Saccharomyces cerevisiae S288C: one gene and its partner. Each later gene encodes a partner of the first gene's protein in a complex. Each region holds a gene or a part of one and is shown in the gene's direction. Other genes may lie near its edges.

The links. The genes of interacting proteins can lie anywhere in the genome.
Region 2: RPL17B (region 1) and RPL12A share a complex: the UniProt entries of both Saccharomyces cerevisiae proteins name them as parts of the large ribosomal subunit.

What each region holds. Positions count from the first base shown.
Region 1 is NC_001142.9:88,185-92,157, forward strand, and holds RPL17B (60S ribosomal protein uL22 RPL17B), read left to right. Parts: upstream 1-2,601; coding exon 2,602-2,910; intron 2,911-3,227; coding exon 3,228-3,473; downstream 3,474-3,973. Other genes in the region: ATP synthase complex assembly protein ATP12, read right to left, coding at 1-376; PFD1 (prefolding complex chaperone subunit), read left to right, coding at 603-932; ATG27 (Atg27p), read right to left, coding at 1,098-1,913; SWI3 (Swi3p), read right to left, coding at 3,869-3,973. UniProt on the Saccharomyces cerevisiae protein: Component of the ribosome, a large ribonucleoprotein complex responsible for the synthesis of proteins in the cell.
Region 2 is NC_001137.3:47,209-56,327, reverse strand, and holds RPL12A (60S ribosomal protein uL11 RPL12A), read left to right. Parts: upstream 1-3,109; coding exon 3,110-3,607; downstream 3,608-9,119. Other genes in the region: MAK10 (Mak10p), read left to right, coding at 226-2,427; POL5 (DNA-directed DNA polymerase), read left to right, coding at 4,789-7,857; HAT2 (Hat2p), read right to left, coding at 7,955-9,119. UniProt on the Saccharomyces cerevisiae protein: Component of the ribosome, a large ribonucleoprotein complex responsible for the synthesis of proteins in the cell.

The sequences.
Region 1 (3,973 bases):
TGCATCTTGCCACTAATGAAGTTAGTGGCAAAGAGTGAGTTTTGATGGAAAGACTGGATAGGGACGACCACTCCAGTTTTAATAGGTATGCTAAGAGAGACTTTGCATTATCAACTATAATTCCATTTCCTAGAGGAGTTTTTATAGTCCTGCCATCTAATTGTAGAGCAATCTTTCCTTTCTCAACATCCCTATTTAGTGACACCTTTTCCCAAAACTTCTGTGAAGTTTTGCTCAATCTATTTGTTTCCGTAGGAGTGTTATTCTCAATCGTGTTGTCTGTCCCCAGTGGCTGGGCATTTAATGAGTAGAATCGGGGCAGTTTCAATCTTATGGAATTCACAATGAAGCATCCCTTCCTTAATGATGGCAGCATTCCGTATTCTCTTTTGTAGGGTTTCGTTTGCCTTCAAGTGTTTTGTTCTTATTTAGCCTTTTCCTTTACCTTAATTTTTTTCTTTTCTCTGAAGAAAATGAATGAGTTTAAAGATATAGCAATTAAAAAGTAACAGTGAAGAAATTTCTCAGATGAGCAGATGGGAATTAAAGAACTATCTACAGAGCTCTTTACTAAATTGAATCAATAATACATACTTACAAACATGTCACAGATAGCACAAGAAATGACAGTGAGCTTAAGAAACGCCAGGACACAATTGGATATGGTCAATCAGCAGCTAGCATATTTGGACAGACAAGAAAAGCTTGCTGAATTGACAAAGAAAGAACTAGAGTCTTATCCAACGGACAAAGTATGGAGATCTTGCGGTAAATCGTTTATCTTACAGGATAAATCCAAATACGTTAATGATTTATCACATGACGAAACTGTTCTTCTGGATCAAAGAAAAACATTAAAGATAAAGAAGAACTATTTAGAAACTACTGTTGAAAAAACAATAGACAATCTAAAGGCATTGATGAAGAATTAAAAGAAAGCGGCAATAGCCTTTCCTTTCTTAGCCGGAAAACTTACTACGGGAACAAGTTTTTTTTATTAGTATAATGTAGATATAAAAGCTTAGAGTTTATATAAATATAATAAAAGGTTAGCACTGCTGTTGCAAAAATATCGAATTGTAAGCCAGTAAACTTATTTAAACGGCGCTATAACCGCCTCTTTGGGCGGTACTTCTGCCTAAGATTCTCGAAACCACTTCCTTGCAGAATTCAGGTAAGGAAGTGAGAAATTGAGTAGAACGTTGAATGAACTCAGCACGGAAATCTTGAAAAGAGCCTCCTCTGGTATTCAAGAATGATACAACCATCAGGTATATCAATGTAAACAGTAGAGCGTATAGGAATAACCAAGTGAACCACGAAGTCCCGCCTGCCTTCTTAGCTGGCTTTTTCCCCTCGCTGTCACCATCCTTACCATTATCGCCGTCGCCATTTTTTTTGTCATCATCTTTGCTCTTCAAACAGCCAGATGGCCCTTTTAGGGTCAATTGGATACTTTTATCGGCCCATGTGTGACTAGTCAGCTCGTCTTGTTTCATATTGTCATTACACTGAAATTCTAGTTTTGCGTCAAAAGAATTGGCGCCCCACGTAGCGCCTTTTAGTGTCAATGTAAGCGCACTCTCAGTTTCCTCGACATTGAAGCCAATGTTTTTGTCAAAATCTATAATTTGAGTGGTGATAGCATCCTTACCGGGCAAGATGACATCTGTTAAACCACATAGCATGTCATTTTTTTTACATTCTTCAGGAGGTTCTACGTTATGCTCTTCGCAAACGTTTATCCACCACTTTTCAATAGTTGTGCTTGGCGGAGTATCCCTTTCCGTAGAAGTTAGTGAGCTAAATTTTCCCACCTGATACTTTTTCAATACATCATGCTTCTCGCAGGACAAGGCCTGTACCACTGTAATTATACTGATGAAGCCACATATCCAAGTCTTCGATACCATCGTGAAAGCTTTCCTTACCTTTATCTATCGCATCGATTGAAGATCTCAGATATAAATCTACAGCAGACTAATATGCCACTAACCTCTTGAAAACCCGTCGCTTACGAAAAAGAAGGAAGACGGAAAAAGGACGGCATCCTTTTCAATTTGCACCTGGACATTCTCACCCATACATGGCCTTGTTTTTTTTTTAACTGAAACTTTTTTGGCCGTTTTTGAGGATATGATATTTCTATGTCGGAGAACAAAAGTAGGCGTGGGAAGTGAAGCTCTTTCGCTCTTTCTGTGATGATCTCCTTCCAGCTAGGCTCGGTTCGACCCTGAGGTCTGCCCCTAGCTCCTTCCTATTCCAAACGGAATACCAAATGTCCAGCCCGTGACAATGCAGCAGGGTGGCTAATTTTTCATCCAGAGTTTGCAGAATGTTGGTTCTCACAAACTCAGAGAGAATTGGCGGATGATGGGTAACTGTGAGAGGAAGTGTCTGGATTTGATCGTATTTGTTAAATTCATCAACACCTTTTATGCAGAGGTGTAGTAGTGTAGGTAGCCCTTAGTAATTGGTGTTTATTATTGTCTATATAGAAATTTCTTTTTAGTGTAGCTTGTACTCTTTCCCTGCATTATTTTTGTTTTATTGACTTTTGTCTTGGTGAATCAAAAAATTAACGAAACGAACAAATTTAAAATGGCAAGATACGGTGCTACTTCAACCAACCCAGCTAAATCTGCGTCAGCTCGTGGTTCTTATTTGCGTGTTTCTTTCAAGAACACCAGGGAAACTGCTCAAGCCATTAATGGTTGGGAATTGACTAAGGCTCAAAAATACTTGGACCAAGTTTTGGACCACCAAAGAGCCATCCCATTCAGAAGATTTAACTCCTCTATTGGTAGAACTGCCCAAGGTAAGGAATTTGGTGTCACCAAGGCTAGATGGCCAGCTAAATCTGTTAAGTTCGTTCAAGGTTTGTTGCAAAACGCCGCTGCCAATGCTGAAGTATGTTTAAAATGAAAATATGAAAAATAAGATTGAAAAATAATAATGATGTGTTGACGGGAGATGATAAAGTATTAGAATATGTTCATATGTGTTGCATCCTATTTTCTGCATGAATGCACGATTCGAAAGAGCTAAAATTAACAGTTTTCCAAATGAAAGAGAAAAGAAATAAAGAAGAAATGGGACATGCAAAAAGGAACTATGGATACCTATTAAGCGTATAGCATAGTGTTTTCTAATCTTATTTTTTCTTACACTACGACTTTAAAATTTTTACTAACAATGAATTACTATTAATTTTCTTTTTAAAACAGGCTAAGGGTCTAGATGCTACCAAGTTGTACGTTTCTCACATCCAAGTTAACCAAGCACCAAAGCAAAGAAGAAGAACTTACAGAGCCCACGGTAGAATCAACAAGTACGAATCTTCTCCATCTCACATTGAATTGGTTGTTACCGAAAAGGAAGAAGCTGTCGCCAAGGCTGCTGAAAAGAAGGTTGTCAGATTGACTTCTAGACAAAGAGGTAGAATTGCTGCCCAAAAACGTATCTCTGCTTAAATGCTTTTTTAATTTTAAAATCTTTTAAAGTGAATATTTGATTTATATACTACTATATACTAATTTGTTTAGGCCAATACACAGAATCAAAATCAAACTAAGAACAACACAGAACAAGAAAAATAACTTTTGATAAAGGCTCTTTTAAATAAAAAAAATAGAAAAAATAGAAAATAACACAATTATAGATATATATCTACATGTACATAACATGTCTAGTCGAATCTAGAGAAATGGGATAAAAATCAGAGAGAAGCCAAGTCAAGTGACGCACCATTAAAGAAATGAACCTAGAAGAAAGAAAATAAGCAAAAATATAGAGCGAAACAAAATAGAAAGTGTTACTAATGAAGAATAATTACAACAAAAACAAAAATGATCTCCATGTGTCATTGTTATGCCGACCAATACCTGTAAAATTGAGGTGCTTCAATAGAAATGGGTTTGACATCATTCTCGTTAGATATACTTTGGCCATTATGGTTTTCACCTGTTTCAAT
Region 2 (9,119 bases), on another chromosome or scaffold:
TAAGAGTACTGTATTATCTAGTAGTTGTTATATTATCTAACCTTTACATAATACGATTATTTCACATTGTTATGTTTTCGGGTAATAATTATGAGATGGAGTGAAATTTCACGAAGAGATACAAGTAAAATAGCAGCTCTTCAATAGCAAGAAGAGTGGCGCTGAGATTGAAAACAACTGTGCTAGTGTAGAGCAACTTTGATAATAGCTGGTACGTTTCCGAGAATGGAAGTAGACAGTATATTAGGTTCCTTGAGCATAACTGATGATTTTGACCAATTGGTTGACGTCACAAGTCTGTTTGATGAATTGTGTTCAAAACTAAAACCAGAGGCTATCGTGAAAGATCCCAGGTTTGATTTGTTCGAGGGTACACATTCTTTAGAGGTCAACAACTCCAAATTAGACTCCAGTCTGATAGAATTGACAGCAGAAGAAATAGAATTTGATGTGAACGTGGCCTACGATCCACCGTTGGCAAGTGTAGCAGCCATAGCGGATAGATTACTTAGATGTGTTATCTCCTGGCTGAATGACTACCAGACTTTACCCACTACTGTATTAAGCTGCAGGTATACAGAAAGCTTATTATCGTCATTAGTTAAGGGAACAACTGCCGGTTCGTCCTGGTGTACAGGGAATATTTTGTATGATAAAGTACTAGGAAGTTGCATACTTGGCGTTTGTTATTTAACAAAATTTGTGCAGAAACTCTTGAGTGCTGGTATTGTTTTTGAAGAGGAGGATTTAAATTTTAATAACATGGGGTTTAATACATTCGATAATTTGCCGGGGCAAGATGTTGTTATCAATTCTCTCACCGAGAGCCTTCAGATATTAGAGGCATATTCTGATGATAGCTTACATTTAACTATGCTGAAGCATATACTAAAAATTATCATTTGCTTAGTCCACTTAGAAGACCATCTGACAGACTATTCCACAAAGACAAGCCACCTGGATGAGCTAATTGAAAACGCTAACTCGGTTAATGGCATATTTCCACAATTACAGCTGTCTCCACCAAAGGGTGCGTTCTCAACATATATACAAAAGCACAGGTCTAATCAATTCCCTCCCAGGAAGATTACGAAGTTACCGACGGATTACAGCGGCTTTATTACACTGGCAAATGATGTTAAAACAATACTCCTTGTAGATAAAGCCGAGTCTGCGTTGGAGACCTACCAGTTTGCCAAATTCTTCAACAAGTTGGAACAAAGGCATGTCATTGCAAGGATCTTATTCCCCTTATTTTTCATTAGAGACGACAGAACAGTTTTGGGTAAATTTTCATATACCCAATTTTATTTGCTACATGTCAAGGAGTTTTCAGCACAAACTCCATCTGAATTTGAATCCTCTATTGGTAATGAACTTATCCAAGAAAGCTCTAATATGCTTTTAGAATGGTACCAAAACTGCTCCCAAAACACATGTAGATATAGACAAGGTTTTAACAGGCAACTTATTCTATGGGATTCTCTTCAAGCCCAGTTTGAAAGTGTCAATTCACAAGTTTACTGTTCGTGGACATATTTTATGAAACTATCAAGTATGATCGAATTCTCTTTAAAGGGGTTTGATTTGGATATTTACAAACCCTTTGAAGCATACTCTATGTTTTGGTATGTTTATTATTTAAGTCACCACTTAGAAACCTTTTTGAAAGATAGTCAAAATGATATTGAATCAAATATTAATGCCATTCATTCCATGAACAAAAAACTTAAAAAATTGAAAGCTGGTGAAAAGAAGGACCAATTGAGGCTAAAGTACAGGTTTGCTATGGATAATGAAATGGAACAATTACAAGCTACCAAACAATTTTTAAACTATCTTTTGAAGGAAATTAACATTACCAAATCTTTATGTCTAATAGAGGTTTTCCAATTTGCAATTTTAAAGTCATTTGGTTTAATTGACAACAAGAATAGTACTCCGTCAAAATTCTCTAATGAACGGTTAATCCATAATTTGAGATTCAAGCCATTTAATTCAATTGGTGTTCCTGAGTTACCAGAATATGAAGTATTTCAACAAACTTTAAAAGATTTTGTCATTGAAGAAAAAGGAGCTGCATTTGATATAAAGTTAGAAAGGGCCACTAACTTTATCGAAACTGAAGTGCGCAATGTCGTTAGTTCTATTGATGAGATAATGCAAGGAATCAAGGGAGGCGATAATAACGGCGTTCTAGTAACAGGAACAAGACTGGTTCAAGAGCTCTCTCTGGAGTACTATTGTAAACTAAAACATACTTCTAAAGCATTATCAGTCAACTCAAAAGTTATCGTCAACACTTTGAAAAAGAACATTAAAAACAAGGACTCCCACGAATACAAGGTTGAATTAGTTCATACAACAGAAGGATGGAACTATTTCCCCATACAAACATTGAGAATAAAGCAAGACCGCTATAAATAATCTGGAATTTACCCTAACTGTACAAAATATATTTAGCATTATATACCCGCTATTTAATTATTATAAAGGAGACCTTTATACTCAAACAAATGAAGCCACCTTATGCCATTATCCCATTCGTACCAGTCTAAAACAAGATAAATACCCTGTTTAACATCCGAACACCAAATATGTGTGGGTGTCAAACAAAGAGACAATGTAATGAGACAATGTACTGCTTGTAAACTATAACAGTATCAGCTCAATTTCAATGCCATCTACTCCAGATATCGTTGCGATTGTACCTACAAGCCGCCTACAACGGCGTTATTGTTGTAAGCTGGTAAAATGCAGTGCGTTCCCCCGTTGTGAGTTCGGGCCAAACTTACTTGGCTGGGAGTTCCGTCCGTACAGTTGTGGCTTGCTGCCTAGACTTAGGCGGACGCGGCGGCAATTACTCCTGGGCTCTCCCTAGAGCTGGAGAGACACTCTTGGTAACCGAAGGGAAAATCCCGGAAGAAAATTTGGAATCCGTTAACACTGCTGGAAATGGACATCTCCTAATACTGAAAAAATTATTCAAAGTCTAGAATTTTGGTAAATTTCAAGGCTTCTTTGAGTTACAGTTCGTTACTATTACACCTTAAAGGAACTTTCTTTTGGGGTCTAGAAAGTCGACAACAAGAACAAAGGATATACAAAAATGCCTCCAAAGTTTGATCCTAATGAAGTTAAATACTTGTACCTAAGAGCCGTTGGTGGTGAAGTCGGTGCCTCCGCTGCTTTGGCTCCAAAGATTGGTCCTTTAGGTCTATCGCCAAAGAAGGTTGGTGAAGATATTGCTAAGGCCACCAAAGAATTCAAGGGTATCAAGGTTACCGTCCAATTAAAGATCCAAAACAGACAAGCTGCTGCCTCTGTTGTCCCATCTGCTTCCTCTTTGGTCATTACTGCTTTGAAGGAACCACCAAGAGACAGAAAGAAGGACAAAAACGTCAAGCACAGTGGTAACATTCAATTGGATGAAATTATTGAAATTGCCAGACAAATGAGAGACAAATCCTTCGGTAGAACTTTGGCTTCCGTTACTAAGGAAATCTTAGGTACTGCTCAATCTGTCGGCTGTCGTGTTGACTTCAAGAATCCCCATGATATCATTGAAGGCATTAATGCTGGTGAAATCGAAATCCCAGAAAATTAGAAAAAAATTAAAGAAAGTTTCAAAGCTTTTTAGTTTTTTTATTGTTTTTGTATTTTAATATGATAATTGCACAAAATTCCAATACGTTTATTTTCTAATTTTTGATTTCGATTCTAGGGTTATACTTTTTCTATCTGTTTTGTCTCTTCTCTTCCTCTCTGGATAACCACAATGAAGAGGATAAGTGACACATTATATTTCTATAATGTATTTCCGAAAATTATATCTGCATGTGATTATACCCTCCGTTTTTTTGTTTTTTCATTTTTATCTTTTTTTTTTTTTGCTTTTCACTTCATTCTTTTTTCTTACTTTGCTTTCCATGCTTGATTCTTTACTATTATTACTAACTTGTGAAATAGTTTTCTAATTTGCTTTTTATTAGAAAAGAAACCATCTTGAACGTTTGACAACACTCTGGGACCAAGTTTCGATGGTTATTTTTTTATTTCCATCGATGTCTTTCACTGTACTTAGTTCCAATTTATATTGCAAACAAGATTAATTTAGGCGATTACTCACTAAGATATACCTATTTCTACTATGGTTATATTAGTCCATTTCATAGCCTTACATTTTCTCTTAGTACGTACTCTCTTGGGATTGGTCTGTTACATTAGTTCGTAAACACTTGTTAATCGTTATAGTTGAGGGAGGGTATATCTAAATATCTGAACTTACTTCTGCTAATGGTTGACGACCAATAACTGATTCGAAAAGTGGAAACTTACAGTTCCTTCAAGGCTACTTTCAGATGCGCTGATGGGCGTGCTTGACACCCATCAGCTTTTCAAGTTATGTATACGTTAATTGCAATAATGAAAGGAGGAAAACAAAACCTTTCCTGCGTATGTATCTATGGGTCTGAGCAACTTCCCAACTTACTGGCTGCCTCTGCGGTAAAAACTATCAAAATATTATTTTGCATTGGTAAATATGATAGACCGGACATAAAATATCCGCAAAAGTAATAGTCTTCAAAATCAACGGACGCTATCATTTTACCCGGCCTTTAAAGCGTGAATAACACGAAAAATTTTATTGCGATGGCCAGAATTGCCTTAGAGGGCAATTTAACATTAATCTGAGGCTGCGGTTTGCACTTAATTCGAAGTTTGAATCGGGTATCCATTAACAAGGGTGATTCTTTCCACAAGTGCATCTTTTTGTCCACAAAAAAAATGACAGGGAAAGTCAACAGAGACCTTTTTTTTAAACTAGCTTCTGATCTTCGAGAAGAGCGTCTACATGCAGCTGTCGCATTAATAAAGGACTTATCCGCATTAGATTTGCCCGACGATGCAGAAGAATGGTCTTATGTATTGAATCGTTTAATCAAGGGTTTGTCGTCTGACAGAAATAGCGCGAGGTTAGGATTTTCTTTATGTTTGACGGAAGTAATCAATTTAGCTGTTAATATGCCACCAGGTCAACGACCAAAAGGTTTAGAATCAACGAACGAGTTCTTGAGCACCTTATCAACCATTTTGAACGTTAATGTCAATGAGGGAACAAAAAAATCCATGAAGGGCAAAGATGAGCGTGGAATTTTATTTGGGAAGTTATTTGGCTTGAAATCTCTACTAAATGAACCTTTATTCTCAGAAATATTTGTTAAAGATTTGGAAAAAGGAAACACCGAGTTTTTCATTCGATTCACGGAACAGCTAATTGATCTGGCCCTGAAGAAAAACTGGATCAAAGAACCATGCTTTTTTACCCTTTTCCAGACTATGAAAATGCTGCTACCTTTTATGGATGAAAGTTCCGCTGAAAAAATTCTTCTGATATATGATAAATATGACCTGACTCTGACAAATGAGGGACTGTCAACTTATTTGTTGCTGAAATATGAAGGTGATGAAAGTCTAATTCCCTCGGTGTTGGATTTGAAAAATCCAGGTTGGAAGGATAACGACCCTCTGGCAAGAGGAAATCTGCCCCTTTTAACAAAAGTATTGAGAAACTCTTCTGTAATTCCGGATGCCAATGGAGGTTTAAAAGAGACGAAAAAACAAAAAAACACGAATTGGAACCCTAGGCTGCATTTTGTTTGGAGTGTTCTGCTACCGTTGTTTGGTAATGGAAAATTAGAGAACACTAGTCATATTTCGAAGAAAAGGAAGAAAACCAACAATAAAAAGGTTCAGAATTCAATTCAATTTCCAGAGTTTTGGAAAATGGCCGTGGACGAATCATTTTTCAATGAGAAAGCTTCTAGTGAAAGAAAATATTTAGGCTTTCTAATAATCGACGCGGCTTTCAAGGCAGTTCCTGGCTCGTACATCGGGTTTTGCTTCAGCCAAAACGTTATGAGAACATTGATCAACCAATCAATAGATTCACAAAGAGTTTTAAATAAGATTTCCCAGTTAACTTTAGACTCCATAGTGAAGGCTTGTGAAGAAGATTCTGCAAACAGACTAGTACCTTGTTTAAATGCAATGTTATTTGGTCCTCACGGTTCCATAAACTTTGATAAGTTAACAAAATCTGGCACCGTTTCCAAACTTATTGCAATTAAAGAATTACCTTCTACTGTTCTTGCCCAATTACTCGATGTGTTTTTTCTACAGTTACAAGATAAAAAGGGAGTTTTATCTCATACCCTTTTTGCTCTTGATTCCATCCTTCATATAGTTCGTGCACACAAAGTCGAAATCAATGACATGGACATAATGAAGCCCGTGTTGAGACCCATCGTATATATGGCTTTCTTCAAACATACATCAGATGATCTGAAGTTAGAACAGCTACACGAATTAGCCAAGGAAAGACTTTATTCCATCCTGGGAGAGTTGACAATAAACAAAGAAATACGTTGCAAAGATCCTGAAATAAACTCATGGCAATATCTGACATTAAAGTTAATACTGGACATTGAAAATTCTCATGTAGGAGATTTAATCAATCCACTGGACGAAAATTTAGAAAATATAAAAAACGAAGCTATATCTTGCTTGAGTAAAGTTTGCAGATCAAGAACTGCTCAATCTTGGGGTCTAAGCACGTTGTTATCTATGTGCTTAGTACAATTATATGCAGGTGACACCGATTCTATTTCTGTGATCGAAGAACTTTGCGAATTTTCCAAACACGAGAATAACTCAATGGTAGGCATCACTGAAATCTTACTATCACTTTTAGCCCAAAAGAAGGCCTTACTCAGGAAATTGAGTTTAATAATCTGGCAGCAGTTTATTGAAGAAGTTGGTTTGGAAGAATTGCAAATTTTATTAGATATTTTAAAAGCGAGAGAAAACAAGCAAGGTTTTGCCCAGCTATTCGAAGGAGAAGAAGAATTTGAAGAAATTAAGGAAGAAAATGATGCCAGTGAAGACGAATCGAAAACTGGTAGTGAAAGTGAAAGTGAAAGTGAGAGTGATAGCGATGATGCTGATGAAAAAGATGAAGAAGACGAGGCAAATGAAGATATTTTGAATATTGATAAAGAGGCCACTAGCGCCTTAGTGAAGGCGTTAAATTTACCCGATAACATAGTTAATGATAAAGGGGAAGTTGACTTAGACCAACTCGAAGGGCTTTCTGACGACGGTGGAGACGATGAAGATGAGGAGTCTATGGATGATGAAAAAATGATGGAATTAGATGATCAGTTATCCGAAATTTTCAAACGTCGTAAGGAAGCATTATCAAGCATATCTACTGGAAACCAGAGGAAATTTGAGGTAAAACAATCTAGGGAAAACGTTATCTCGTTCAAGCATAGAGTTGTCGACATGTTAGCCGTTTACGTCAAATATTGTGAAAAATTGACTCTTGCTAATAAAAGTGAACATTCCAACAATTTAGGAGGCTCATTAAGCAAGCTCGTTTATTTTATTATCCCAATGCTGAAATGTGTCAATGAAACTCTTGATAGGCCACTTGCCGACAAAATTTCTAAATTGTTGAAGGGTAAAATATTCAAGATAAAAGTAACTGCATTCAAAGACATGAACAAAGACATCGAGCTTATGGATTTGTTGAAAAAAACACACAAGCTGATGCTGACTTCTAAGCCAGGTCAGCATGCTGCAGTGTTTTATTCAATGTGCTCAACCAGCTCACTGTTTTTGAGTAAGTTATACGTTGAAATCGGTGGTAACGACAAGCTTGACGAATTGATTGACTTGTATACTGCAACTACCAAAGAGTGGATGCAAAAAGGAAAATGTGGACCTAACATTTTTATTGATTTCATCAATTGGCTATCTTCAAAAAAGCAAACTGTAATGGATAAGGAATAATCTAAGTATATTTTATCACTCCTCAAAATCGGATTATGTATGTTGATCTTTGTTTAATTACGCCTTTTCGCCAAAGAAACAATAAAAAAACTATATATTAGCTTATTATATCCTTGTTCACCTTTGGTGGACCTCCCACGATGGGTAGACTATGGGAACACTTCCAAACTTGTAAAATATTTTCTTCTTCAGCACTTGCTACCAACCAAGGTATTTGAGGGTTCAAATCAAAATCATTCACTGAACTTCTGTGACCTGCGTGGACCATGATCAATTCAGGAACGCCGTCTTCCGCGTCATCAGGTGTTTGTTCTGCTCCAATTTGTTTCAAATCCCACATCATCAATCTATTGTCTGACCCGCTGGATACAACTACACCGTCAACATGGGTTGAAAATTCCAAATTGTTCACTGCATCTTCATGACCCGACATATGGTGTAATGGTTCCTTCATGTTTCTTAGATCATATAGATAAACATACGAGTCCATACCTGCGGCCGCAAGGAGGTTTGAGGAATGATGACTAAATGCTAATGTGTTGAAAGGTTGCGGGCATTTCACAGTATCGATCGTAGTATTGTTTGCCCTGACGTCATTTATTTTTAAGAGAGAATCTTCTGAAACAGTGCCGAATAGATCTTTATTGAAGTTGTGCCATTTATTATCATTAATAATATCAGAATGTAAATCATTCCAAGTTCGTACTGGTTTTGTAGGGTCACCGCCACTCCCCACTTCCCAGAGAGCGACTGTATGATCATCTGAGCCGGAAAGCAATCGCCCTTTGACCAAAGTGCTAAATGATAAAGCATAACCGTTATCCTTATGAAATTTTAGTGTTGACTGAAGACCTTCTGAGCGAGAATAGAGGAAAACTGTGCCTTGCCCATTTATTGTGGCGACAATATTAGGGTCTTGAGGCATATATCGGGCTCTAGTGATTTCTTCTTCGTGCTCATATTTAGCGGTAATCCTTATATTTGACCTAGGAGCAGGTAGAGAGGACTGATACTCCTCTCCTGCTTCTTCTTGTGGGTCTTCATTACTAAGAATTTCCTTTGGTAGATTAATTTCTGCGAATTTCAAATAGTTTTCTTCTTCACCAGAAGTGTGCGTACCGATGATTAATTCTTGTTTAATAAAGCCACCATCTAATTCTTGAACAGGAGTAGGGAGCCATTGGACGGTTAAAGATGGCCATGTTAAACGTGTCTCGCTAACAAAGTCATACATTAATGGAACATTGGATTTCCATAAATCG